Linked DNA regions of Canis lupus familiaris. The protein of the gene in region 6 interacts with the protein of the main gene of each other region in a pairwise test. Links are inferred from orthologs where the notes say so. Each region holds a gene or a part of one and is shown on either strand. Other genes may lie near its edges.

The links.
Region 1: the proteins of MBIP (region 6) and RAP1GDS1 interact in binary tests that used the Homo sapiens proteins (3 or more experiments, as listed by UniProt). The two-hybrid records come from large-scale screens. The link is inferred for Canis lupus familiaris from reciprocal best matches to the Homo sapiens genes MBIP and RAP1GDS1.
Region 2: the proteins of MBIP (region 6) and MCM7 interact in binary tests that used the Homo sapiens proteins (3 or more experiments, as listed by UniProt). The two-hybrid records come from large-scale screens. The link is inferred for Canis lupus familiaris from reciprocal best matches to the Homo sapiens genes MBIP and MCM7.
Region 3: the proteins of MBIP (region 6) and PPFIA1 interact in binary tests that used the Homo sapiens proteins (3 or more experiments, as listed by UniProt). The two-hybrid records come from large-scale screens. The link is inferred for Canis lupus familiaris from reciprocal best matches to the Homo sapiens genes MBIP and PPFIA1.
Region 4: the proteins of MBIP (region 6) and TXLNB interact in binary tests that used the Homo sapiens proteins (3 or more experiments, as listed by UniProt). The two-hybrid records come from large-scale screens. The link is inferred for Canis lupus familiaris from reciprocal best matches to the Homo sapiens genes MBIP and TXLNB.
Region 5: the proteins of MBIP (region 6) and BFSP2 interact in binary tests that used the Homo sapiens proteins (3 or more experiments, as listed by UniProt). The two-hybrid records come from large-scale screens. The link is inferred for Canis lupus familiaris from reciprocal best matches to the Homo sapiens genes MBIP and BFSP2.
Region 7: the proteins of MBIP (region 6) and EPB41L3 interact in a two-hybrid assay, tested with the Homo sapiens proteins (2 studies listed by BioGRID). The two-hybrid records come from large-scale screens. The link is inferred for Canis lupus familiaris from reciprocal best matches to the Homo sapiens genes MBIP and EPB41L3.

What each region holds. Positions count from the first base shown.
Region 1 is NC_049253.1:19,381,199-19,385,257, forward strand, and holds the start of RAP1GDS1 (rap1 GTPase-GDP dissociation stimulator 1), read right to left. Parts: upstream 2,801-4,059; 5' UTR 2,614-2,800; coding exon 2,610-2,613; intron 1-2,609. UniProt on the Homo sapiens protein: Acts as a GEF (guanine nucleotide exchange factor) for the Rho family of small GTP-binding proteins (G proteins) that stimulates the dissociation of GDP to enable subsequent binding of GTP.
Region 2 is NC_049227.1:9,437,379-9,441,564, forward strand, and holds the start of MCM7 (DNA replication licensing factor MCM7), read left to right. Parts: upstream 1-1,386; 5' UTR 1,387-1,513; coding exon 1,514-1,544; intron 1,545-1,988; exon of another isoform or gene 1,989-2,068; intron 2,069-2,356; exon of another isoform or gene 2,357-2,380; intron 2,381-2,390; exon of another isoform or gene 2,391-2,533; intron 2,534-2,638; coding exon 2,639-2,718; intron 2,719-3,011; coding exon 3,012-3,176; intron 3,177-3,351; coding exon 3,352-3,476; intron 3,477-3,562; coding exon 3,563-3,743; intron 3,744-4,047; coding exon 4,048-4,185; intron 4,186-4,186. Other genes in the region: AP4M1 (AP-4 complex subunit mu-1), read right to left, coding at 1-76, 208-304, 384-490, 833-921, 1,018-1,075. UniProt on the Homo sapiens protein: Acts as a component of the MCM2-7 complex (MCM complex) which is the replicative helicase essential for 'once per cell cycle' DNA replication initiation and elongation in eukaryotic cells.
Region 3 is NC_049239.1:48,513,378-48,517,576, forward strand, and holds the start of PPFIA1 (liprin-alpha-1), read right to left. Parts: upstream 2,801-4,199; 5' UTR 2,707-2,800; intron 1,439-2,706; coding exon 1,175-1,438; intron 1-1,174. UniProt on the Homo sapiens protein: May regulate the disassembly of focal adhesions. May localize receptor-like tyrosine phosphatases type 2A at specific sites on the plasma membrane, possibly regulating their interaction with the extracellular environment and their association with substrates.
Region 4 is NC_049222.1:31,678,515-31,682,014, forward strand, and holds part of TXLNB (beta-taxilin), read right to left. Parts: intron 261-3,500; coding exon 90-260; intron 1-89. UniProt on the Homo sapiens protein: Promotes motor nerve regeneration. May be involved in intracellular vesicle traffic.
Region 5 is NC_049244.1:30,851,725-30,855,721, forward strand, and holds the start of BFSP2 (phakinin), read left to right. Parts: upstream 1-1,197; coding exon 1,198-1,686; intron 1,687-3,997.
Region 6 is NC_049229.1:15,070,287-15,074,406, forward strand, and holds the start of MBIP (MAP3K12-binding inhibitory protein 1), read right to left. Parts: upstream 2,801-4,120; 5' UTR 2,738-2,800; coding exon 2,609-2,737; intron 1-2,608. UniProt on the Homo sapiens protein: Inhibits the MAP3K12 activity to induce the activation of the JNK/SAPK pathway. Component of the ATAC complex, a complex with histone acetyltransferase activity on histones H3 and H4.
Region 7 is NC_049228.1:71,859,202-71,862,701, reverse strand, and holds part of EPB41L3 (band 4.1-like protein 3), read left to right. Parts: coding exon 1-43; intron 44-554; coding exon 555-677; intron 678-1,323; coding exon 1,324-1,716; intron 1,717-2,501; coding exon 2,502-2,633; intron 2,634-3,118; coding exon 3,119-3,217; intron 3,218-3,500. UniProt on the Homo sapiens protein: Tumor suppressor that inhibits cell proliferation and promotes apoptosis. Modulates the activity of protein arginine N-methyltransferases, including PRMT3 and PRMT5.

The DNA.
Region 1 (4,059 bases), on a different chromosome or scaffold from region 6:
CTTCCGTTATAGCTATCTGTGTATGTATCGTATCATTCCAATTAGGATTAAATGGAACTTGAAGTATGAATGTTTTATTCATCTCTGTCCTCCCACAGTACATTGTACTTGGTTGATATTCAATAAATATTAAGTATATGTTGACTCTATAATAAGATATATATTATAGCCATGCCCCATAAGACTATATAGGAAGTTTCCTTCACTTTCTTACAGAGAAAAAGCACTGCCATGAGAATATTTTTTTAAATCACCTTATTTATTTCTTGGGAAGTCTTTCAAAAGTGATTTTTTCCTACCATTAATCAGGGTACCCTTTACGTATATGTCAATTGTTATAACTTCTTTGGCTCAGAAGATGAAATCGCTTTACAAGGTTTCAATTTTATGTTATTGCATGTCCTAGTGATCACACACTAACCCACCTTACCATGGAAGACAGCAGTGCAGAAGGAAATGGCTTACCTGGAGGCTATCCCCGAATCCATATCTCTGAGTCAACCCAACCTTTTTTTTTTTTTTTTTTTTTTTACCAAGAAGACTACTCATAGTATAATTATACTTCTCTATTCCCAATTCCTCCAAGCCTCCATAATAACTACCAAACTGAATGTTCAAAGCCCATACTTTCAAGTTCACAAATGGAAAATAATAGGTTTTAACTTCAATAGTGAATTCACCAAAGACTTATTGAATATCTACTATGTGGAAAGAACTGTGGGATACACAAAAATTAATTAGACATAATTTACATCTTCTGGAACTGATGACTAACTGCACAACACACACATAAACAACTCCATTATAAGGCAGATTATGTAAGTGCTAAAAAGCCTCCAATAAGGTATAGAGTACTATGAGGAGAGACTGGTTTAATCAAAGAGTATCTGAGAAACTTCAAATGAGAGAAGGGTTTCTATCTGACCATTCTTTGAAATCAAGCAGTAACATTCAAGAATTTGAAGATCAATCATTTTTAAATAAAGTATTTTTATTCATAAGTATGGCAACAGAATTGAATTTTTTCTACTGAGAAGACTCTGACTCAACATGTAAGTTAAAATTTTATTTAAATGGATTTTCTAGCTCACCTTGAAACACGGGTAAATGTATTTCACAAGCCATATTTGTGGCCTATAATTAAGGAGAGAGCTTTTGCATGTTCAAGGAAAATTTACAATGTGTCCAATAATCTGAGTATTTATTTAAAATTCTACTCCTGGAGAAAAGCTAGGTACCTATGGGCCACCCAATTTTACATAAATTCGTTCAGCATAATACCGATAGTACATTAAAAGGGGGGGAAGAAATCTGAACTAAAGATAAAATTCAGGGCCATAATTCATTTTTTATTCATACCACCTCCTCCTGCAACACTAGCCTCTCCCCAATATAGGACCAAAGGTCTGAAACAGCTTGGAGCATCTGCTTTTCCAGTAAGCTCCATCCACACCATTTCCAGATTTAGATACTTCCTAGAAGATTCTCAATTGCCACGACTGAATGCTAGACGTGTTGAGCACTGTATTGACAGATGAAAGAACCACATTCATTTTAGGCTTAAAATAACTTGCACAGAGGGGTGGGAAAAGTCCGAGTTGACAGACGCCAATGGAGCAAATTTTAAAAGAGGAGATTACGACAGGGGTGGAAGCGAACCAGGGGCATGTAGAAGTACGGTACTTCGAACTGATACTATCTTTTAAAAAAAAAAAATCGCCTATTAAATTACAGAACTCATCAGACGTTTCTGTAATTACCGCACTGAACGCCTAAGCAATGTCATGAAAAAAAAAAATGTTAAGATAAGTCATATGTCATTTTAGAGAATGCACCTGCTTTTAAGTATCTGGTCGCAAACCAATTCGTTGGGATCAACCGTACATACAAAGGAACTAAAAATCAGATTATGTAGATTGAGGCAGGGGACGCCGGGAAGGAATAACTGAGATGTAAGTTCCGTAACGTGTCCAGGGTGCGTTTCTCGGCACAGCTACAGCCGGCGGGCGAAGGGGCCCAGGAGGGGGCTGGGCACGGGGCCCCCGGCCGGCGGCTCTCCGCATCCTCCCGCGCGCTCCTCGTGGCCTCTGACAAGTCATCCCTCGGCCGGGGACGCCGGCCGCTCTCCCCCGCCAGAAACCATTCCCATGCAGGTCGTGCCGTCGCCCAAACTACTTGCTCGCACTTCCCCGCCTCGGGCTGGGGAAAGGTCGCCCAGACCGGGAAGTTCCGCGAGGCGGGCTCTCCCGCGCGGTCCGACCGAGCCTCCGCGCCCGCAGCCGCCGAGGGAAGGGGGCGGGCGGCCTCCGGAGGATGCTGGCCCGCGAGGCCGGCCCCGCGGTGCCCGGGCACGGCTCGGGCAGGAAGAATGGAGGAGGGGAGGCGCGGCCGCGAGGTGCCCGAGGGCCGCACCCCGCGCCCGGGACCCTCCCAGCCCGGGGACCCGCGCGCGTGCCGCGAGCGCCGACTGTCCCCGCAGGGCGAGCCGCGGTCCCACAGCCGCGGGCTGGAGAAATCCGGCAACTTTGCGCGAGAAACGCTTCCCACCCTGCAACACGCCGAGGGAGAGAAAAATGTCAGGCGATGACGGGGAAGGCAGGATGACTTACCCATGTTTCTCCCGGAGGGTGCGGAGCCAGCAGGGCGAGGCGAGGGTCCCCGGAGCGGGCGGGCGGCGCGGCGTCCTCCCTCTACCTCGGCCTCTCCCGCAGCCAGGGAGGGACCCGCGGGGGGCGGCCGCCGGGGAGGAGCAGCTGCTGCTGCCGCTGCTGCTGCTGCAGGCGGCGCGGCCGCGGCGGGGACGAGCGGCGGGGGGGCGGGGCGGGGCGGGGCGGGGGCGGGCGCAGCCTGCGGCGGGCGCGGCTCGGAGCGGGCGGGCGCCCGGGAGGCAGAGCCGGGCTGAGCAGCGCCGGCCCCGACGCGCGGCCCGGGGGCGCCCCGCCCTCTCCGCCGAGCATGCTCAGTGTCTCCCGCGCCCCTTTCTCTTCCCCTCCGCGGGCGGGCCCGCTGCAGCCGCCGCAGGCCGCGCGCTGGGTGGGCTGCGGGGTCCCGAGGGCTGCCGCCCGGCTTGCCCGCCGACCCCGTGTGCCTTACGGGACGGCCCGGCCGCGCGGGCTGCAGGTCCCCGGAGGAGGCGGCGGGGACGCCCCGCAGACATCCCGAGACGGAGCTGCCGTGCACGGGCCGCCGACGGGGCTGCGCCTCCGCGAGACCGAGACCTGAGGGCGCCCGTTCTCCGAGCAGCCTGCGGGGCGCGGGGCGGGCTCCTAGCGTTAGCGGCGCAGCAGCGGGGTGGTTGGGGCTGCCTCGGCCGCGGCGAGCTTCACAACAGGGCTGGGCAGCCGAGAAGGGGGCCGCCCCCAGGGCTTTCCTCCTACGGAAGCGCGGCCTTGCCTCCCCCGAGACGCCTGGAAAGCCACCGGCGGAGCTAGGGTGCCCTCGGGCTCCCCCCACCGGGCAGCGCCCCGCCGAGGTTACCGAGGTAGCGGCGGCCCCGCCCAGCCGGCGGGCCAGGCCCCCGGGACGCCCCCGATCGCGGGCGAGACCCGAGCGGGCGCCCTCCCGGCCGGGCATGCGCTGGGCCCCGCGCCCCTGCCCTGCGGGGGGAGCCGCGAAGAAACCCTCCTGCTCCCTGCGGGGGCCGCGTCTGGCCCGGACCCCTCGTAGCTGTAGGAGTCGGATCGCTCTCCCCACACAGCAGCAGCCGCACCCCAGCAGGGGACAGGCCCGCGGGCAGCAGTCCCACCTGTGGAAGGGGGACGTTGCACACCTGAATCGAGGCTGCTTCTCCCTTCCAACCCCTACTCTTTAAATTCAACGTTGAGGGATCCCTGGGTGGCGCAGCGGTTTGGCGCCTGCCTTTGGCCCAGAGCACGATCCTGGAGACCCGGGATCGAATCCCACGTCGGGCTCCCGGTGCATGGAGCCTGCTTCTCCCTCTGCCTGTGTCTCTGCCCTCTCTCTCTCTCTCTCTCTGTGACTATCATAAATAAATAAAAATTAAAATAAATAAATAAATAAATTCAACGTTGAGAAAAGGCGCCTTGCCTCGCTTCAGCC
Region 2 (4,186 bases), on a different chromosome or scaffold from region 6:
GCTTGCTGACCACAGCCTCTGTCTGGATGAAGTTCCTCAGCATCTCCATGGATGTGGTCTGCACATAGCCATAGTCCTGGGGGCAGAGGAAGGACAGCCTTTGGGTGGTGAGTGGAGGAAAAAGGTGAAAGTGAATGGACTTAGTTTTCCCACCCCAGCCCACATTTGCAGGGCACTGGGCACTTGGGGGAGACCCCTGGCCCTCACCAGCACTTCATCCAGGAGTTCGTAGACAAGAGCCACGTTTCGGGAGATGGTCCCCTCACTCAAGGAGCCACAGTAGTCGCCCAGGAGAGTGGCCAACCTGAGAAAACAGGGCTGTGTGTGCATACCCTTCTACGGTCGTATCCCCGCGCCCAGGTGCCCAGCCCTGCCCTCCTCACCGGGAGAGCAGCTCTAGAAGGCTGAAGGGAGAAATGTTTTCTGAAGTCGTGGCTACCAAATAGAGGCCGCTGTGTCTGATGTGAATGAAATGACGGTCATCGTGGTGCTGAGGCGGAGGCGAGGAAGAGAGCGTTAGGAAGACATGTGATTAAGGACCCGCGAGACTTGCTAGCGGTGGGCCTTGGGGCGAGCCAGGCACCTCGCCCCCGCCCCGGGACCCAGCTGCCTAATGTGGAAGTGGAAGTGGCCCTGGTACCTACCCCGGACTGGCGGAGCTGCGCCCCGTAGAGTGTTAGCGCTCCAGAAACTGTCGCTCGGATTACTTGGCAGAACGTACCCCCCGCCCCGCCCGCGCCCCCCAGCGGCAGCTCTCAGGGAAACGGTCCTGGGAGGAAGGAGGCGCCCCCCAGCCCTCCGGGAGCCTACCCCAAGCCCCGCCGCAGGTTACCATGACAACCGGGGACTCATCTCCGGGCAGTCCCGTCAGCTTCCGGTAGAAGAGCTCGGCCACATCCCGACCGCCACTGTCCCCGCGGACTGACCGGGTGGAAGGACAGCTAAGGAGTCGGCGACACGGGCGGGCTCTAGGGCACTACTCCCACCCAGGCCTCCCGCCCCGCAGGTCAAGGATACAATCCTTGTAGATGAGCGGGTCCCCTTTGGAAGACAGAATGAAGAACTGGGAGATCATGGTGGTTGGAGAGTCCGCAAGGAGACAGCGAAACTTGGGCCTGCCCCGCCCTGCGGCCCCGGAACAAAAGGACGCGCGTAGGCTGGTCCTTTAAGAGCAATTTCTCTCGGTCCGAGCCAGCTCGGACCGCGGGAAACCCGGCGCCCGCCCCGCCCGCCCCGCCCCGCCCCGCCTCGCCTCTCCGCAGCTCGGGTGCCCGCGCCGCTGCCCCGTCACTCAGTCCAGACTCGCCTGGTGATTGGCCGAAGCTATGGCCTGCGGGAGAGTGGGAGGGGCGAAGGGCCTCCTCTTTGATAGGCCCGCACGCGGCGGCGCCCGTCACGTGGGGGGCGACGTTTCGCGCCAATTTCGGTTGGTCGGCAGGAGCCCGCCGCGCGGACGCTTTCTGCTGTCCTGGGAGTGAGCGCCTTGAGCCCGCCAGCTGCTGCCGCACGGGCGATGGCAGTTAAAGACTACGTGCTCGAGAAAGGTGAGGATATGCAAACTTGGGAGGAGCGGCCTGCGCGGGAAGCCTGCGGTCCAACACCTGTTGGCGTGAGCCGGCGTCCTGGGGCCCCGGGGCGCGCGGCCAGAGGCAGGGTCGAGAGGCTGCAGGGCAGAGGCAGACGGTGCGTGGGAGGCGCGCGGGCCGCGGAAGTCGAAGAGCCAGTCATGCCTGGGGAAGGAGTGGCGGGTCGCGGTGGGCGGGGGAGGGTCGCGCCCAGGAGAGACCGGGACCTCAGGAGACCCAAAGGGCTTTCCGCCCCCAAGGACAAGGACCCCGGGTCCCCCCTCCCTGCGCACCCTTAGACATTCGGAGCGCCCGCGCCCTCTCGAGACGCGCCGGAGTCCCGGGGGCGGGCGGGCCCCGGCCGCTGAGTGCCGGGATTGGCCATTTTAGGCCAACCTCTAAGCGGAAGTGAAGGCGGGCGGAAGTTGCGCGACGTCGCTGGAGGGAGTGTCGTCTGTAAACAGTGTCCTTCCGCGCCGCGGCCTCGGAAAGAGCTGCTCAGGGTGGGGGCGTGCCTGAAACTGGGGGGCTTCGCGGGAGGCCGAGAAAGGAGGTGGTCGGGTGGGACGGAGTGGCCCTTGACGAGCCGGCCAATCGCCGGACGGGCTCCCGCCCTGGGCGGAGGAATCCCGGGCTGTGAGGCGGCTGCATCTGGGCCCATGTGCTTCTTTGTTTACTAAGAGCGGAAGCAGTGGCGGGAGAGGGGGTGGGGTGCAGGCTGGGCCTAGTGGAGAGACTGAGGAGACCGAAGAAAAAGAGGAATCTCAACGCGTGGAAGAAAAACTGAGAACCTTGAGCTCAGAGCGTGTGGCGGGGTGTGAAAGGCCTTTGGGAACGAGTACTGAGATTTGTAACCAGGGGAGACACTGGGATTCCCTGGGGGAAGGTTGTTGGGTAAAGCTCCTGACTGCCCGGGGCCCCTTCTCTAGGTGAGAATAGACCTGTTAGAAGGAGTTCTGCTCTACTTGGTAAGAATTACGAAGTAAAAGCGAGTTTTTTAAAGAAGCGTATCAAGGGGTTTTGTGGTAAAGTATCTGAAAGACTCATTCTCATGATTTACGTTTTCCTTGCAGAAAAGGTTAAGAAATTCCTACAAGAGTTTTATCAGGATGATGAATTTGGCAAGAAGCAGTTCAAGTACGGGAACCAGTTGGTGAGTCATAGAAAAAGTGGAGGGAATGGGTGGTTGCTTAAGGAGCTGTAAGAGGTGGCCTGGCTTGCTTCAGTAAGTGTACATGTAGGTAACAGCTTCAGTGTGATTCTTAATATTTAGTAAGTGGAAGTCATTCTGTGTGGGTAATGAGCAGTGTGCTCTTTAGAAGTTAGAGGGCTGTCTTTGGGGGGCTGAGAAGTGAGTATTGCTTTGTCTCATGCTTCTTTCTACCCTTGTGGGTGGGGGACACTGCTGACCATGGTGTACACAGCTCTGTCTCGTCCTTACCCCAGGTTCAACTGGCTCATCGGGAACAAGTGGCAATGTACATAGACCTAGATGATGTAGCTGAGGATGACCCTGAGTTGGTGGACTCCATCTGTGAGAATGCCAGACGCTACACCAGGCTCTTTGCTGATGCTGTACAAGAGCTGCTGCCTCAGTACAAGGAGAGGGAGGTGAGTGGTTGCAGGACAACACAGGGCAACACAGGTTGCTTTCCAGAAGCTTCTCAGATGCTGGTTTTTCAGAGTTGGCAGAAAGGGGGCAGTAATTTCTGCCTGGTTCCCTTTGTGGTCTTTCGTTCTCTAGTCCTGCCACACGTTTTTTCTTCTATCTTTCTTTTCTCTTGAGGTGGTAAACAAAGATGTTCTGGATGTTTACATTGAACATCGGCTGATGATGGAACAGCGGAGCCGCGACCCTGGGGCAGCCCGAAGCCCGCAGAACCAGTACCCTCCCGAACTCATGCGCAGATTGTGAGTGGTCTCAGCGAGGAAGGCTGTGGAAGCTTGTGCAAGCTTGTGCTTCAGAACCTTTGTAATGACTCTTTTCTCTCCCTTAGTGAGCTCTACTTTCAAGGCCCAAGCAGTAACAAGCCTCGTGTGATCCGGGAAGTACGGGCTGACTCTGTGGGGAAATTGGTCACCGTACGTGGAATTGTCACTCGTGTCTCCGAAGTCAAACCCAGGATGGTGGTGGCCACTTACACTTGTGACCAGTGTGGAGCAGAGACCTACCAGCCGGTATGTAGGGAGCAAGGAATAGGAACATATTTAATTGTTAGTGGTTTGCCCCAGAATTACTTTTAACTCCTGGTAGTTATCTGTTGTTTGCTGTGTTCGTTATGAAACACAACTGTGTGTTTACTTATCATTGTTTTTCTGGTCCGTAGTGGTCTTTCCATCGTCCTTTATGGGTTTTTGGTTCCTATGCTTATTGACTCAGGACAGGTCAAAACGTTGGCAGTGTGCGATGTGTGCTATGGGGAAGAGGAAATGTTGACTCAGGTGACGGACTCATGGCTTTTTGCTTTTTCTTGCATTCTAGATCCAGTCTCCTACTTTCATGCCTCTGATCATGTGCCCCAGCCAGGAGTGCCAGACCAATCGCTCAGGAGGGCGGCTGTATCTGCAGACACGTGGTTCCAAATTCATCAAATTCCAAGAGATGAAGATGCAGGAACATG
Region 3 (4,199 bases), on a different chromosome or scaffold from region 6:
AAAAACCGTGATGGCTCCCCGATCCAACAGAAAAGGAGCACTACAGCACTAACGGCAGATTATTATTGCTAAAAAGGAAATGCAAACGTCTGGCTTATCAATCTTTCAGGAGAACCAGCTACAGCCAAGAAATGCATTCAGGCTGGCAATTACTCATTTACTAATTTAGCACTGCAGACCGACGGTGGGAGCACAAGCATGTGCTTATGCAGGCCTACCTGAAAGGACCACAAAGGCGCCTATTACGGGTAACTCAAGTGGCACCTAGGCGGCTGTGAACACCCAAGTAACCTCTGTGTCTCCGGCATGCTCTGTGCCACTCGCCTTACACTTTCCTCTACCCTCTACCCTCACCTATCATGACGTCCTCACTCAGCTCCACAAGGAGAGGCTTTGAAACTAGTCCAAATGTCATATACTAAGATTAATGGCTTCGGCGTCACTTCAAGCTTACAATTCTCATCGGCCAAGAAGAAAGTTCCGAAGGAATTAATCTCTGTCTCATATCCTCCACAACAAACTTCATTTATAAAACACAGGTGTTCTTAGAAAAGTGGACTGTAAAAATATCTTTATCTTTCCTGTGAAATCAATCCTATCTATCCATTAAATTTCATTAGAAAATGGGAAATGCGATAAAATCCATAAGAAACACAGGTTGAGCAAGAAAGGCCTAAGACGACAGAATGGAAGGCAGCACGCAGCTTGGATGCCTCATGGCCCTTGTCCAAAAACTTCGGAGCACTGTCCCAAATTAAGGCAGAAGAAAGGAACAAGAGTTACGAGGTGTTTAAGTATAGTGCACCACAGCTTGTCTTCCCTCAGAGGTTCAACCCTCGGGAACCCTCTCTGCACATGACTTACAGACACCAGAACCACAAGCAGCCCAGGTGGCTCAGCAGTTCAGTGCCACCTTCGGCCCAGGGTGTGATCCTGGAGACCTGGGATCGAGTCCCACTTCGGGCTCCCTGCATGGAGCCTGCTTCTCTCTCTCTCTCTCTCTCTTTCTCTCTGTCTCTCATGAATAAAGAAATTAAATCTTTAATAATTAAAAAAAAAAACCAGAACCACCATTTCACAGACTCATGTAAAACATGAACACCATGAAAGGTGACACCATAATTTAGAAGGGGAAAGAAAGATCTGTAAAGTTCCAGGTGAAAGGCATCCATACCTGTGGAAGTGCAGTATTGAGCTGCCTCTGCAAGGAATCTCTTTCATGCCCGACCTCATGTAACTTCCCCTGGGTTAATGCCAGCGTTTCCTGAGTCTCTCTCAGCGTGTCCAGAAGACGGTCCCTCTCCTCCAGCATGGACACCATCAACTGTTCGAAATGTGAATCTGCATCTGGCTGCGAAGGAGAGCTGGACCCACGGCTCCCACTTCCTCCTGGCAGGCCTTCTGCTTCACTGATGGTCGGCATCACCTCGCACATCATCTTGAAATAAAACACCCAGACTCCAGTCATTAAGTGCAAAATAAAGGCTCCCACAAACCTGCAACTTTATTAGCTCTCCGTGCTGCTCATAAAATGAAGGTTGACAGCCTCGTTATTCTCAGATCCGACTGTTACACTCTGAGTATAAGTAAGCGGAAAAAAACATACACAGGCGAATCCTGAGTGTGGGAACAGATTAATACGTGGGATAGTGCAGGGCAGGGTAGAGACCTCACAGACTACCCCTGGAGTACAGAACCAACCCTGGGGCGTTTTGTCTGCAAAGCTGTACTTTCTGGTTGTTGAAAACAAGTGTGCTTCTGCAACTTACTTTTTCCCCTTTATTTCCCGGTTCGGGGAGAGAAAGTCAAAACACATGCCACCCAATCATGTTTCGGGAAAAGCACAGAAGGAGCATACAGCCAGTAAAACTGACAAGTACAAAATGCATCAGGCATCTTGGAGGAATGTGTGCAGTCAGCTCCCGAGGAGGACTGGCGGCTCCCTCGGCTTCGGGCCGGACTGGGTGAGCGCTCAAAGGCACCGGATTCGTTAAGGGCCGGGAAAGGTGTTTGTCAGTGGCTGCAAAAGGTGTGACGGTCAGGCAACCCAACTTACGTAAGTTTACGGCCGGAGGGAAAAAAAGAAAAGAGTATTAGAAAGGAAACTTGCACACCGGGCATGGAGCAGGTCGGTGCGGCCGCGGACGGCTAGGAGGGAGCGGAGGAGGAAGCAAGACGGAAGAAAGGACAGGGAGGAGGACGGAGGAGAAGGGAAAGGGGAGAAGGAGACGCCGCCAGCGAGGCCCACAGCAGGCGGGCGCCGCGGGAGGAGGCTGGAGCCCCGGGGGCGGCGACGCCGCGACCGCCGCGACCGCCGCGACCTCCTCGCCCCTCGCCCAGCGCCGCGCTGCAGGGCCCCGGGCCCCGGACCCCGGACCCCGGACCGCGGGGCACCGCTGACAGCTGGAGCGCAGCCCGGGCCGCGGCTTCCCCGGCCACAGGTCCTCGGCCCCCGAGCCCGGCGCGGGGCTGACCCGGGGCTGACCCGGGGCTGACCCGGGGCTGACCCGGGGCCCCCGGGGCGCCGCGGCCCCAGGAGCCCGGCCTCGGGGCGCCCCGCCGGGGCCCACCGCCTCCGCGCCCGGGGGCTGACAGCGAGCGCCGCCGCGGGGAGGGGGCCGCCGCGGGGAGGGGCCGGCGCCCGGGCGCCCGCGGCCCCGCTCCGCCCCGCTCCGCCCCAGCCTGCCTCAGTCTCCCGCTCCTTACCTTGCTCGCCGGCGGGAGCGGGCGAGGAGGCTCCGCGGCGCCGTGCGGGCGGCTGCTCGCTCCGGGCGAGCTCGGGGCCCGACGAAAGCGGCCCGCGCCCGCGCCCGCCGGCCCCGGGCCCGCAGCCCCCAGTCACCAAGGCCGGCCCGCGGCCGGACACTGCCTGAGCGCAGGAGGAGCGGGCCCGGCTGCGCGTCGCCGGCGTCAACGTGCCCGACGTCGGGCGCGTCGGCGCAGCGTCAGCGCCGAGCGCCGCCGGCCGGCCCCGCCCCCCGGGGGTTGGGGAGCGCCGCGGAGGCCGGGCGCGCAAGCCCCGCCCACTCGAGGGGCGGGGCGGGTCCCCCGGCGCCCATTGGCCAGGTGCGGGCGGAGCCCCGCCCCCGGCCCCGCCCCCCAGGTAGGGGCCTTCTCCACCGAGCCGGAGCTCACCTACCGCGGCTCCGGCCGCCCAGAGGCCGTTGGCAACGTCTACCGTGCGTCGGGTTCTGAGCCAGCGCCTTCCTCGAGGCGGGTGCGCCCCGGCGCGAGACACCTGCTGGCTGCCTCCTCGGGGTCGGACCCTCCTCGGGACCGACCGTTCCAGGACTCAGAAGGTCGCGGCGTCTACGCGGGGCCCTTACCTGCGATTCCTGCGGATGCCCAGTGGGCACCGTTTGATGCGGAGATTCCTGGGCGCGGCGTGGGGAGTGCAGGCTCGCCCCTGCGCGGTGGCCTGGGCAGGTCAGCGGAGCCCGCGGCGCTCAGCGCCCCACCTGTATGATGTGAAAACGACACGGCCTTACTCCTGGGCTGCTAGAGCAAGTGGGATCCCACGGGGGGCGGCTCCATTCACGTCCTTATTCATACTCACTCATTCATTTCCTTCTTTGGGCTACTTTGTGCTTTCCAGGTACTACATCATGAATGCACATTATTTTTATCATTAGGGAAGCCCCCTCCCTCCCCCACCCCCCCAATAAATGTTCCTTTAGTAAAACCTAGGCAAACATAAATCATGGAAAATAGCTTTTGGGAAGCTAAAATGCCTTTTCTGTGTACCTATACCACCCAACTAAACTATTTCCCCAAAGTATTTATCCAAAACCTGTTTTAGAGATGGAGTGGCACCCTTGTAAGGCTTAGTCAAGAAAACGAGCCATTTTCCCTAAAATGGTTTTGCTCCAACTCTCCCGTCGAAGGCTTGATAAAGAAAACCCAGGAATGTGGGAGGGGAGGGGATAGATAGACCAGTACTATGGCCAGGGTCGTGTTTTTACAAATGTGCCCACCAGCCTCAGCTCTCTCATGATGTGGTTGGTTGTCAACCATAAGCATGGCCCAGGCCACCTCTCCTAGTTTCTAGAGATGGCTTTCTAGAGCTCGGGAGGAGTGTTCCTCTAAGATCGGAGTGTGACCAGTCCTAGAGATCTGGATGTGTCCCAGGTCTATCAAGACTATGGAAAACAACCTAATGAATAGTGTGACCCTACAGTTCGGGGAAGGCCTGAGCTGGG
Region 4 (3,500 bases), on a different chromosome or scaffold from region 6:
GAAACTCATGCTCTTTCCATGAGTGGCAGAAGCCCGTGCTGCGCTGCATGCCAGAAGGTGTGTTATTCAGAGAGGTGGTGATAACATACCTTCAGTGTCTTGTTGTGTCTCTGCAACTCCCGGCATAGACTCTCCAGTTTGCTTCGAGCAAGGATAGCTCTGCTGTGTTCACTTTGTAACTGGTCTTTTTCTTTTTGGATTTGTACCTGTTTCTTTTGTAAGAACTTTAACTTCTTTTGCTCAGTGCGATGCTCATCCAGCTAGACATGAGGGATGCAAAATAAAAGAAAATGGCAGGAATTGCTTTTGAGTTGATAGAAAAGGATGAAAAGAGGAAATACCAAAAGATTACTCTGTGGTTGTTGGAAATATTCTTTGCTATTGTCACTGCCCCTCTGCAAAAAATTTCACAAATGGGACTTTGTGATACTCATAGATACAGCTTTTAGAGCATATCATTTATAGGTTTTCCTTATCATTATAATGATCCCTTCCTATTCTTTTTGGTGGTCTATAAATAGTTTTCCTTCTCTTGAATCTATCCAGTGATACTGGTCAATATAGAAGGGCATATCTTGGAATCTGTAAAGCTGTCAGAATTCATGATAATGTCTTGCATTGGTGCAATGGTCAACAGTGTGTCTGCTTGGTTTATATTTTGTTCTCACAATTATTTCTCATAACAAGCTTATAGCAACTATTTTTTAAAGAATAAGAAAGCATAAAATAGCCTCCTGGTAAGTGGAAGGTGAAGTCTGTGGTTTGTAAAACAGGGAGGGAAGAGAAAATACCTCTCAACTACCTAGCATTGGCGATTTTCCACCAGAGCTTCAGAAGTAGCCACTGCACAATTCAACAGCGAGAATGGCAAGTATCCATAACACACCCTGCCCTCTGACCATCCCCAGGTTCCATGCTCATGGCCAATAAATCATGACACGCACTTTTGCCAACCACAGTGGGGGCCTTTTCTCATGCTCCTCCAGCAGCTACCACATAGTTCCATGCGACTTCCCATCTTGGGATGCTACAGTTCAGGGATGAAGTCACAAGATAAGATGTGGGACACCCAGTTAAATTTGAATTTCAAATAATTAAAAAATTTTAGTAAAAGTATATCTAAAGTATTGGATGGGGCACTTTTACTGAAAAAAAAATGTTTACTTGAAACATAAACTTAACTGGGTGTTCTCTATTTTGTTTGCCAAATCTAGTGATATTTTAATGGAATTCTAGCTCTGGTGGGTGGAGGGGCAGTTTGTGGATCAACCAACGGAAGTCATCAGAGACTAGCACATGCCAGACGTGTTGATCTCAGACAGTCAGTGAGGCTGTATCACTTCATCCAGAGCCTTTCTTTTGCTGGACTCAGTTTCCTGAGTGCCAAAATGGTGCTTAATGCAGGTAGGTGCTTATCCTGATTATGACTTTGTTGGCTCAAGAGGAGGAAAAGCCCATGTGAGACTGTCAGGGCTTCTGAACCCCAGGTGTTCTTAGTGACTTGAAGAATCTGATGCAAGTGATCACACACGATATGAACTCTCGCATGTGCCTCAATCTCCCTGTCTTGAAAAGGTATTTGTTCTTTTTGAACTAGCTGAACAAGACTATCACATTTACTTCAGTTCATGACTTATTTTACTCTCTTCCTCACTCCTTCCTGCCACACCAAAATGATCATTGTTGGATTAAGCTGGGGATGTTCATAAATGATATTCAATCTTCACATTTATGGGCAATTTTCATTTATTAGTGAGAATTAACATCAGGAAAAATTAGACCCATATGACCATAAACATTGATTGAAATTGATTTCTTTCTTGAGGTTCAATTGGAAAATCATTGATATTTTATTATGTTTCTCATTCTAACCTCCTATTAAAAGGATGGATGAGTTTTTTTCATTTTGTACCATAGTTACATTTGTGCTTATATTTGGATTTTATTAATTTTTTATTTTTATTTTATTTTTTTAGAGATAGAGTGGGGGGAGGGGCAGAAGAAGAGGGAGAGAGAGAATCTCAAGCAGACTTCTCACTGAGCACAGAGCCCCATGCAGGGCTCCATCTCACGACCCTGAGATCACGAGCTGAAATCAAGAGTTGGACACTTAACTGACTGAGTCATCCAGGCGCCTCCCATTTTTTTTCATTTTTTTTAATTATAAAAAAAAAATTTTAGAGAGAGAGTGTATTTGGATTTTAAATGACCTATTATCTCTATCTGAAATTTATATATTGTTATTATTGTTATTGCCATTATTATTTAGACTTTTTTCTTTTTGAAGATTAAATTGTATGTCAGGATTTCTCAACTTAAGCACTTGTACATATTGAGCCAAATAATTTCTTGTTGTGGGGGGCTATCTTGAGCATTGTAGGCTGTTTAGCAGCATCCTTGTCCCCAACCTACTGGATGCCAGTAGCGCCCCCCAATTGTGGCATTCATAATATCTCCAGACAGACATTGACTATTGGCCCACAGTGAGCAAAACTGCCAAACAAGGGAGTACTACCCCATATGGATTTACCTGAGCACTAGGAGAAAGATACCCTACATGTGTTTTATAAGTTGGAAGAGATGATTTTTGCTTGCTTATCAACCATGTAATGTTCTAGTTTTACTGCAAAGTCATACATATTTGCCATTAGGTCTATCTTGCTTTGCTCTAAATAAAAACTCTTAACTTTCTGACAAATTTATGAAGAGTGTGGCTAACTTTATTCAAATACTTCTGACTTGTGAATATATATATATATATATATATATATATATATATATGGTTCTTAATGAATGAAAGCGAACATATTGTAACGAGTCAACTTTAGTCAAATACTTACTGGCTTAGTGATTTAATGATGCACTTAGACACAGCACTTCTGTACAATTGTAACAGTCATATTGGATTTTTATCTGCTATTTTTCTTGTTCTCTCTTTTTCATTATTAAGTTAAAAAAGTAAAATTAATGCCAATTATGAAATCAGAATAGTATTAGTGGTTTGTTGTGACTACATTAAAACTGAGGAAACTTAGAAAACCTACTTCTCCCAAGTCCCTTCTTAATTTAGTCATGTGGTATCTTTATTAATAAATATATCCTTATTTATTAATGAAAACAATCGTAGATGATATTACAGGATTCAGAGTCTGTAAGGGTGAGTTAGCTAGAGTGGCATTTTGATTCACGGCTTTGAATTTGATGATTTATTCTATGTTAATACATGTCAGACACCTTCTATATTAATATCCAAATCAGTGAGCAATGAAATAGGTTTTAGTCTTTAAGTAAAAGATTGAAATTATTCATAATTTTGCCTTTCTGAAAAAGAAATGTAATGAGTTTTTGGCCAATTATCTCCTATTCATTCTTTCTAGAATGATCTTTTGGGTTTTAAAGTTCATTATAGGACATGATATAAATGCCAAAGTATAGTAAGTAGGCTTGAATTGAGTAGGCGCTCTGGAAAAATAACCTGGGTGGGGTGACTCTTGACTAGG
Region 5 (3,997 bases), on a different chromosome or scaffold from region 6:
CTAGAAATTGACTCCCTTCCCCTTCTCTCACTTGAGGTGGGTTCTCATGTTACAGGATTTGGGATAAATATCCAGCTCTGGATTAATTGTGGCTACTTGGATTCTCTAGTGCAGAACTTAAGTGCAGTAGGTTTTAGGTTTTAGTGGGTTTTGTTATCTCAGAGGATCTTTTTTAGACCTGTAAAAGTACTTGAGATGTGACCATAACAACATACCTTAGTAGGTGCTGACAGTAAGAATTAAAACCCAGGGGTGTCATCAAATCCTAACTTGAAGCACCCTTAAAGAGCTTACTGGAAAACCTCTTTGTTCTTATTTATTAGTCTTCTGGAAAATGGAGAAACAGAAGTGTAGGAAACAGCTACAGCATAAGAAGTGCCCAACATGTGTGAGACCTGAATTTGCCCAGGGTGGTTGTCTACTACTTAGAGAGAGCTCAGGCCAGTGCGTGGGAAGTAATGTCCAGAGACATGGAGCAACATGGCCAACATCAAGCAGCTGATAAACAGCAGTGTTCAAGGTAAAAAAAATGCCACCGAAGGACCTGAAGCTGCTACCAGAACTGAGAGAGGGTGAGGGAAGAAACAGGCTTCATTTGTTTCCCTTGAGTTCATGGGGCTGCCTCCACCATGGGTGGTTCACATCCATATCCATTGTCTATTACCTGTGTGGACATGCATGCACATTCACACATTCACATACACAGCACACGTAAGGATGTAGAAAGTTCTGAAATTGGCCCTGGAACATCTGGATTCAGTCCTGGGTCAGCCTAGCCACTCACTACACTTGTGATCTGAGGTCTCTAAGCCTCGGTTTACTCATCTGTGAAATAGGGCTGTTTGATGCCTGCTTTGCCCTCTCTTAGGTGGTGAAGGACACAGACCCAGATGAGCCTCCTCCACAGCCTGCACTGATCTAGCCTCCCCCACCACCAGCAGAAAAATCTGGGAGGTCAGGCACATGACCTTGCAGAGAATGCATGAGTGCCTTTCTGCACACAGCCCTGGGGCAGGGACCATTTCTCTTTCAGCTCAATGAATGGTGGAAGCTCATAGAAAATAGCAGACAAAGCAGGCCTGGGGGTAGGGGAGCTTCCAGAAAGGCCCACGACCGGGCCACAGGGACACTGGGGCTGGAAACCAAAAGCCACTAGGCTCTGTAAACCCACTAGGCAGAGCAGAGGCAGAAGGGGAGATGAGCACAAGGCGAGTGGTGGTGGACATGCCCACCGGGGCCAGCTCCAGCATGCCCCTCCAAAGGCACAGGGCATCCTTCGGGGGAACATGGTCATCATCCTCCCTGGATAGCCCCCCAGCCTCCAGGACCAATGCCTTGGGTGGTCTCATCCGAGCACCCAGAGTCTATGTAGGGATGGCGCCCAGTGGGTTCACAGGTGGCCTGGGCACCCGTGTGACACGCCGGGCTCTGGGCATCAGCAGTGTTTTCCTGCAGGGCCTGCGGAGCTCAGGTCTTGCCACAGCACCAGCTCCAGGTCTGGAGAGGAACCTCAGTACAGTTGAGGACCTGGGGGGTTGCCTGGTGGAATACATGGCCAAGGTTCATGCCCTCGAGAGCGTCAGCCAAGAGCTGGAGGCACAGCTGCGGATGCACCTGGAGAGCAAAGCCACACGCTCAGAAAGCTGGGGTGCCCTCAGGGCCTCCTGGGCCAGCAGTTGCCAGCAGGTGAGTGCCTGGGCCATGCCCAAGGGCTTTGCGTAGGGCCAGGAGAGGGTGCTGACAGCCGCCTGAGGGGTCATTATCAGAGAGCAAGAATGCTGAGGCGGGGCAGGGGAGTAAATGGTTTGAAGCCAAAGAAACTGACCACAACCTCTCATTTCATGCTAAAAAATACTAATGATAATGAAAACAATAATGACAGCTATCATTTACTGAGGTAGACTAAGGGCCAGGCCCAGTTCCCTGTACACGAACTATCTCCTATGTTCAAAGCAATACTATGCAGAGGCTCATTTACCGATTGCATTTTTCAGATGAGAAAACTGAGGCACAAAGGAATTATGTAATTTGCCCAAGATTTGCAGCCTGTAGGGAAGCTGAGCTTTGAGCCTGAATTGTTTCAGTTCCAAAGCTTGCATTTGTCCCATAACCCTGTTAAGAAGAGGTTTTGTGTTAAGAAAGGGTTTTCACAGCCATCATCAAATGGAACACCATAGAATGGATGAGGCATCAAAAACAAGGATAAATGGAGGTGTGTTCCTGTATCCATCTGCTACAGAACTGTCCAATAGAAATATGAGCCACCTGGTAATTGATAAGTTTCTATTACAGTAAAAAAATAAAAAGAAACAGATGAAGCTAATTTTAGCATCAATATATTTTAAATGTTATTTCAACAGGTAATCAACATTTAAAATATTAATGTGATAGTTTACATGAAATAGAACTTTCTGCAGTGACTGAAATGTCCTATATCCACACCGTCCTGTCTGGTGGCCACAGCCATATATGGCTATTGAGCACATGAATCCTGGCTAATAAGACTGAAGAATTGAGTTTTTATTTTTATTTTATTTTATTTTATTTTATTTTATTTTATTTTATTTTATATTTTATTTACTACATGTGGCCAGTGCTATCCTATTGGACAGGGCTGGACACAGAGGTTTCATCTTTCTCCCTTGCTTGGTCAGGATGTGCTCTCCTGGGTGATTTCCGCAGAGCGCTGAGCTCATCTGTCATGTCTGGCCTGCAGCCTACTGTTCTACCACCAGGACTCCAGCCAGCATTGCACATCTCATCAGATCTCTGTGGGTGGCTGGCTTCTCTTTCCCTTCCCTACCCAACCTCCCCCCGATACATGCTGATCTTGGGATCCCTCTGAGCTACATGGGCCTCTAATTCAGCCAGGAACTGCCAGCTTGGACCCCTTGGGCCCTAGAGGCCAGCATGCACTCCCCAAGAGGAGATCACAAACTTCTATTTGTGTGTGGCTAAGTGATGCAGTGCAGGCACACTGAGAGGCTCCCCATTTCCCTTCCTGCCTCCCATTTCATCTGAGGATGCTTCTCCTTCATTGTCAGTCAGTGCCCGACCGTCAGCTTAGGACATATGATATACAACACTGTCCTCTTGGCTTTCCTCTGGAGCTGTTGTTCTGCTTACATCCATCTGGGCTATAAGGGAGAGCCATCTTAAAGCAGCCTGGGGCTTAAAGCTGTCAAATCTAAGAAAGCCACCCCTCCCAGATTCTCCCTAGCAGTCCTGATTCCAAGTATTTGTGTCCTATAAACCAGCAGGCTGTTCCTATATGTTCCAATATTTCAGCCTGTGTAGGACAAGAAATTGTTCTGCATTCAGACGCCACCCAGACTTTTCATGAGAAGTCAGGCATCCTAATTTCTAAGTCAAAACGTATAGACACAAAACTTAGTCCATATTCAATAGATCCTGATGTGGTCTGGCTCCAGCTAGCTACAGGGGATTGGGCAACTTTCTCAACTTCTCTAAACCTCAGTGTCCTTATCTGTAAAATGAGTACAATGCCACAGCCATTCTAGCAAATCCATAGATATCTAAGTTGCATGGTTCCTGCCTGTGGGCAGACCATAGATTAGCAAACTGCTCCCTGAGAGCAGCACAGCCAAAGTGCCACCAGAGCCAAGGACACAGAGACATTCAATCCTGTCACTGAATCCCAAATGAGGGTCATTTCTCTCTTAACTGACCATAAGTGAGATACTTCATATGAATACAGACTTCCCTTCTTCTTTTGTTTAAAAGCGTGGACTTGATGGGATCCCTGGATGGCGCAGCGGTTTGGCGCCTGCCTTTGGCCCAGGGCGTGATCCTGGAGACCCAGGGTCGAATCCCACATCGGGCTCCCGGTGCATGGGGCCTGCTTCTCCCTCTGCCTGTGTCTCTGCCTCTCTCTCTCTCTGTGACTATCATAAATTAAAAAAAAAAAAAAAAAAAAAAAAGCGTGGACTTGAGATACAGTGAGACTGACCTGTAAAATGCAGTTATTGCTGTATCA
Region 6 (4,120 bases):
GTATTACATTAGTTCAAATACTGATGTTATGAGTTGTGATTCTAATAAAACAAAAAGATGAATCACTGTACAAAGAACCAGAAATCCAAAGTTACCCAAAAAAGGCAGTATACTTAATGAATACTGTATGACAAAAATTTACCACCTTTTCCATGAGACAAGAAACATTTAAAGTCTGTATCAGACAACTATAAAGAAATAAGAAATTTTGGATAGGCTACACTGGCAGAGATTAGATTATATTAACTAAAGTTTTACATTAAGATTACTGCATTAATCTTAGTTTATATTATTTAATTACTGTACTTCTACAGTCCTCTAAGAGATCTACAGTTCCTAACAAATTTATAAATAGAGTTTTGGGATAACACAGACAAATCCTCAACTAAAGTAAAGCATCAAATTTCCTAAAGAAAATAAACAAATAAAATAAATCTTAATGTTGGGATCATATTCTCCTTTCAATTCAGCATAATTATGTAAGCCTTTCAAGCACAATTAAAGACACTTGGTTTTTTTAAAGAAAACTACATAATGATACAAATTAACTTTAAAATTATCATAATATATCCAACTATTTATTCAACAAATTCCCTATTAGTAATACGAATTCGATGCATTTTTACCCTTTATAACTTGTAAACGTAAAGCATTCACTCAAAAATGTATTGGTGTGACATTAATATGGACTATTTAAGTAAGCATTTTCCATAAAAAATTAGTATGAAACTCCAAGCTAACAATAAATAATGCTTCAACTTGGTAGAATGAGCCATGCTGTGGCAAGCAATAAGGTTAAAATAAGTAAATTTGAAATCTGGGATACTTTTTAACATTCAATTTTATGTTTCCTATTGAGGAGAGCCAACAATATAATGATACTATGCAGAATGAAACTAGGCATATTGAAACTTACTTTTTTTTTTTTTGAAACTTACATTAAAAAAAATATCCTATAAACTTGTTGCAAAAGTACATAGTGATTTCCTCCAGGGGCAATTTTATAATATTGTGGCTTTCATTCTTCCCTTTAAACAATACATCTCAAAATATAAAGACTAATATCAAAATAGTATTTAATTGATGAGACAATGATTTAATTTTTTGACACCTGTATAGATGGTCCCTTCAATGTGTCATGTAAACTTTCCAAATATGTACTCTCAACATTTTTGACAGGTGACATAAGTAAACTTTAATCACAAAATACGCGAATGTTTAAAATCTGTAAATGAGTTTTAAAAATTCAGTATGCAAAAATATTTCAAAAGAAATGTTTAAATTATTTCTTAATGTTACTTTAAAAAATTTATCACCACTGAAAATAAAACTGTAAATTACAGGTAAGCATAAACTTTTTTCATCGTGACATTAAAATATAAATAAACCTTAAAATTCCAATATCCAAGACAGAAAACGTTCTCAGACTTTTAACCATTACAGGTCTTGGGTGATAAGACTAAAATGTTAATGTCCCCAAGTCTTTAAAAAATTTTAATAAGTTGGCGGCAAACAACTGAGCTCAACAGTTACAACTTTTAGCAGATTCTGTTAATAATTGTTCCGTTAGACCAAATTAAATGTTTAACTTAGAGTAATGCTTTTTCTAAGGACAAACATATTAGGATTTTTAAAAATACTGAAATAACCTTTTAAAAAATTAATTCTCCATCCACTCACGGCTTTTAAAAATAACTTTTTACAAACTAGACAGGTGTTGTTTTCATAAACATTATCCTCGACATAAATGTTTGCTGTGCCTACTACATGCACTAATACCAACCCCATAACAAACTTTTAGAGTAAAAAAATATTCCGTCTAAGATACAAAAGATTTCCTTTTTAAAAGCAAACAAACTTATTTTCAAGTTGTTTATCATTTGTAATATGCTTTGCATTTTATTTCATGAAACAGTTGACTTGATTGAATAGTGTAAGGAGTACTTTTATTTAAACCCAATTTATTATGACATTTCTGCAGAAGCTATTCATCAGTCAGTTAAATTAGCTAATAATTAAATGACAAACAGTTCTGATGCAAACTCTATCAATCATGGATAACTCATCGAATTTTATGCAAGAAGTATTTACATTAATTCCTTTCATTTTTCCTCCCCATATGAAAGGGTAAGAGATGCACATGTAACAACCAGAAGGAAAAAAAAAAAAAGAAAGAAAACCAAGTGACTCCTAAAAGCAAATCAACCCCCCCCCCCCCCCAAAAAAAAAGCGGAGAGAGCTTTGCCAAAACTCTCAGGCCGTTACTTCTATCAATTTCTATCACAAATTCACTGAAGGATAGGGGATGCTGAGCGCCAGGCACCCTCCAAACCCACAAAGCTTTTTACGCCTTCGCTCTCTCCAAGCATGTTCTTCTGGGAGCCAGGTTTTTCACTTACACTATCCTCTCACTCTTGGGGAGAATTGCCAGCCCGTACGGCCTTCCTCGCTCCGACCGCAGCTAGGCTCAGGCTCCTCCGCCGGCCTCAGTACTCAGTCCCGGTCCCCGGCAGCCCTAAGCAGCCCCCCGCCTCCGCTAGAGGAAAAAAGGGGGGAGGGGCCGGAGAGTTCCCAACCCCCTGCTCTGCTCCCACAGACCACCACTCACTTGTCCCACCAGGCTATGCAGTGAGCGAAAGATTTCGCGGAGCACCTCTTGGGAGAGATTGGGGCTGCAGCTCCGTTCCGGACTCCTGTCACCACTGCTCGAGAGGCTAAGCTCAACGGCAGCAGCCATGACACCTTCGCAGGCTACCCCCGCCACCACCGAGCTGTGCTCACAACACCCGCCCCCCTCGCCCGCCCGCTTGCGTCGCCGGTAAATGACGTAAAAACACAGCGTCTCGTCCGGCCCGGGCCTTCGAGGACCCTCGTGACTGACAAGCCGGTGCGCCAATCAGGTGCAGCTGGAGCGTCACGCCAAGGAGCCGGAGCGGGTAATTGCCGACCTGGCGGAGCTGCGTACGGAATTTGGGACGGTGATTGGGGCGGTGGTCTAGGGAACGTTAGCGTCTGAAGCCTGTCTTGTGTTTTTAGGTGTTGCTTATGAGTGTTGAAGAGGAGACTTAGACCTAAACGTCAGAATTTTAGAAGTTAAAATTTTAGCTTTTAACATGGCGCTGTGGAGTGGTCTGGACAAAGATTGCTGTTCGGGGGTGCAGCAGGGCCCACACCTCTACACCCTGGAAAACTCTTTCACGTACGCTTGTATTTAGAACATTTTCACTTCTGCAAAGTTTAAAAACTTACACAAATTAACGTGACTAATTTTTCATGTGAGGGAGCAGAGGCTATAAAAGAACAATAAAATGCTCTACTGTTCCTGCTGTACTATCAATGGAAGAAAGGACATTAATTACTTTAAATCTGCAAAATAATTATGTCAAGTTTTAAAACGTGCATCAGTTGCTATTCTCTGAGTGATACTGTAGAGACACTCACCTAAACCTTTCAAAGAAGTGAGACACTCAAAACGATTCTAACAGTTTAATTCAAATAAGTAATTGCATGCAGCACAATCTTTGAAATTAGAAAAAATAAATGCGAATTGAAATTTGACAGCGTATTACTCATCAGATAGATTTATTAAAAGATATTTGAAGTACTTTTATAGTCCAACATTTAAAAGCTTTATGTTCAATTGAAGAAAAGAACAAAGGTTAGAAGAATTTTAAATGTTAAGCTCTATTAAAAAACAAAACCCGTCAGTTCAGAGATTAGGGACAAGGTATTTAAAATTCTTAATTCTAATAGTCTAATGCATTTACAGTAGAGGAAGCAAAGGTAGAAACTTGCACAATATGTATTCTTCAGTTTTAGAGTAGGCTGAATGAAAAGGAGCAGAATAGGCATCAGAGAACTGGAATGGGGTCAGTAGGGATAAAAGAACGCCTTTGACCTGTCCCTAGGGAGCCTCTTAATTAGGCTTTCATTTCCAAAGATCACCAGGCTTGACAGGATCTTGAGAAATCTTGTCTGTTCCCTTGTTCACAGCAAGATATACAATTTATAATCCAGCCTATGTCTAGAAACATCCAGAAAAAGATTTCACAATATATAATCCCAAATTGAGCAGCCTTCTCATTCAAGGCACTCATCTCCATCTCTAATTTAAACTCAT
Region 7 (3,500 bases), on a different chromosome or scaffold from region 6:
CACTGCTCATTACGTTACCGAGTCGGCCACGTCCCGAGTTGTGGTAACCAGTGCCTTTCGTTTGGGCCACCGTGTCAGAGTCCAGCATGACCTTTTTTTGAGGCAGTGCCCTTCCACCCTAAACTTTTCTGTTCCTCTCGCTATTTGGCTTTATGTTGAGAGCCGCCAACCCTAGCTTTTTCATTTTTCTCGTGGTTAGATGGATAGCGCAGTCCAGTGTAAGCATTAAAAACACTTTCCGTTTTGTTTCCAGCTCCCTGATCCCGAGATGTGGTAGTGCTGCCTGGGGCTTGCAATGAAGGGGAAATGACCTGCTTATGCCGGCACCACCCACATCCTAATAACTCTCTCTGCTTTACCAAACCAGAGCTCATGGTCACCTCAAGTTGCTATTTTATTTCCCATTCTTTTCTGTTTCCAAAATCTGTATGGTAGATTCCCTCCTGCCTCCTCCCGCCTTCCTCCCCTACAGTTTTGTCTAAGCAGCTGTGAATGTGACTATACCCGTCTGTTCCTGTCTCTGTGTTTGACTGTCCGTTTCTTTGTTCACTCAGACTAAACAGTCGTCTTCTGAAAAGCTCATGGATGGCTCTGAAATCTTCAGTTTGTTAGAATCTGCAAGGAAACCAACAGAATTCATAGGAGGGGTTACTTCTACTTCTCAAAGCTGGGTTCAGGTGGCCAATTGCTCCCTCTTTGGTGTTCCTGACTCTGCCTATTTGCCTATCTTTATGCCTCTTTGGTGTGTGTGCACGTGTGTGTGCATGCATGTTTTGCATCCAAGTGGCTCTAAGGCCTTAAACACCTGAGAGGTATCTTCAGGTGTTTTCCTTCGTGCCTGCTTGGCATAGCTGTGATGTGCCTTTATTTGCATCACTAGAACATACTTCAGATATTCAAAAAGCAGTCATGTTGAAAAATCTGAATAGCATTTAATTTTTTAAGCATCTTATGTCATCCATTAGGTCTCAGAAAGCTGCCAGAATCAGTGGGAAAATGCTATAGTGCTTTCATTTTGTTTTGTTTTCGTTGCGTTTTATGCCGCATCCTGTTTCATCTGCAGATATCCCGACATAGCAGCACAGGCTTGTGTGTGTGTGTGTGTGTGTGTGTGTGTGTGTGTGTGTGTGTGTGTGTTGGGGCAGAGGACGCGCCTCCGAGATTCTGGTGGGAGGAATGAAAGCGTTTGTAAGCGTTTCTGATTATAAGCACTTGACACTGGCTTTAGGTGTCCTGGTGAGTGGCTGCTTTTGTTTTTATTTTGGCTTTGTGACCTTTGGTGTATGGAAAGCCACAATGACACCCCAATCCTCTCCCATGCAGAAAACAGAAACCAAGACGGAGTCCAGCAAGACGGAGACAGAAACAAGCCATTTAGCACCGAGCCCCCAGCCACTTAGCACCGAGAAGGTTGTGCAGGAAACCGTGCTGGTGGAGGAAAGACATGTGATGAGTGTGCATGCGAGTGGGGATGCTTCTTACGTGGCTGGAGATGACATGGATGCTGCGACACAGGCAGCATCTGCTGATGCTTCTGGCTTGAAAGGGAAGGAGGGCTCTGCTCTGCCGGAGGGGGCTAAGGAGGAGAAGGGGCAGGTGGCCGATAAAGCTGTCCTCGAACAGGAAGAGACAGCTGCTGCTTCCCACGAGCCAGAGGAGGAGCAGAGCACAACAACCCACGTTCCTGAAACTCGGGAACAGAAACCTCATTTTGAGGTAACTAGTAGTTGACGTTACTTTCAGCACCAACGTAAAACTGACATATGACTCCCCAAAATCTCGTTAAGCGTAAAGTGTAAAGCTAAGTTTAATTTTCTACCTTTTCCAAGTGCAATTTGTTTCTCCTCTTATTCCCCCTCTTGCACGGCGACAGGGCCTCCATGCTGGTTTCCATCTTTGGGTTCACATGCAAACGTATTTAATGATTATTAATTATGTGTGGTTCCAGGAAATGGTTTCTACCTTCACTGTAATTATTGGCAGTAAACCTGGGGAATGCGTGGCCAGCCAAGATAGTAGAAAATTCGATAAATTTATTTTTGATCAGGATACTTACCCAGAAGGCCCAAAAACCATGCTCGCCCCGGTACCAAATGCCAGAACTTCGTTCTTTATCTCTTTTACTGAGATTCCTAAAGTATATGGAGTGAGGGGTGGCTAATGTCTTAAAATCTGTTCCTTCTTTCTAAGAAGTTATTAAATAAAAGGCGAATTGATGATTTTTGATCTATTAGTTTAGGCAAGACAGGAAAGGCAACATAAAAATAGTTTTTTAAACATTTCCTTCAAAATGCTTTCCTTTACCTGGAACATCCCATGTGAAAAACTCTCTGGAATTCTGAAAGACATTCCTCAACTAACCCTCCCCACGTTACACCTAACCATTTACTACATACTAACCTGTACTCATACATACCCACCGAGAGGGGAGGGAAAAAGCCAAAATCATGTCTTTGTGCAAACTACTAAATAGCCACTCTACCTGCTTCCCATTGGTACAGTCATCAACTGTGAAGACAGAGAGCCTCAGTTTTGGCAGTGTTTCACCAGGAGGAGTAAAGCTAGAAATCTCTACCAAGGAAGTGCCGGTAGTTCACACAGAAACAAAAACGATAACGTATGAATCGTCACAGGTAAGACTGTGCATGAAGGTCAAAGCCCTGGCACTTTGCTTTGCCCCTCTCTGTGGCTCACTGCATTAAAGTTGGACCCCATGACATTTAATTCGTGAGACTCAGAGGACACAGCAGCCAAACTGTGTCTGTCAAGAGTGATAATGGTAATAATTATAACTTTATTACTGCTGACGAAGCATCAGGTGACTTACACTGGTCTTCGTATATCTCAAGAGGTAGAACGAGGCTCAGGGACCTATTTCCCCAGCCATAGATGAGGAAGCCTACCAGCTCGAGCAGACACTACTCCCATTTCGCAAGGCCCAGTTTTTAAAGATGATTAACCCTGGCTGTGTTTGGGCGAGCCTGTCCCCAAGGCCATGGCTCCCATGTGCTGATTGGACAACGTGGCTATGGGGGGAGATAACTGAATCATTGTGATGTCCTGACCACTCAGATGCCCTGAGGGATCTGAGTGCAGTGTCTGTTCCCTGCTTTCGTAGGTTGATGCTGGTGCAGATTTGGAACCGGGCGTGCTAATGAGCGCGCAGACAATCACGTCTGAAACCACCAGTACCACGACCACCACCCACATCACCAAAGTAAGTGGACTGGGAAGAGACCGTCCCAGTTGGGCTGCACAGACGAAGAGTTTGGTGAATATCAGGACGCCCAGATAGGCGCCTTGGAGCTTTCAGGCCCACTCTGCTTACGGGGCGTGTGCTCCTACACGCTCCTTTCTGTTTAGGAGTATGCACCCTGATACCCTTTGCTTGCCTAACACGGAACTCCAGTCCTCAGCATGTGGTAGGTGTTCCAGAAACACGGGCCAGCCACGCCCAAAGGACTCCATTGTAGCTTCGCTTCTGGAATTAATGATTTTGA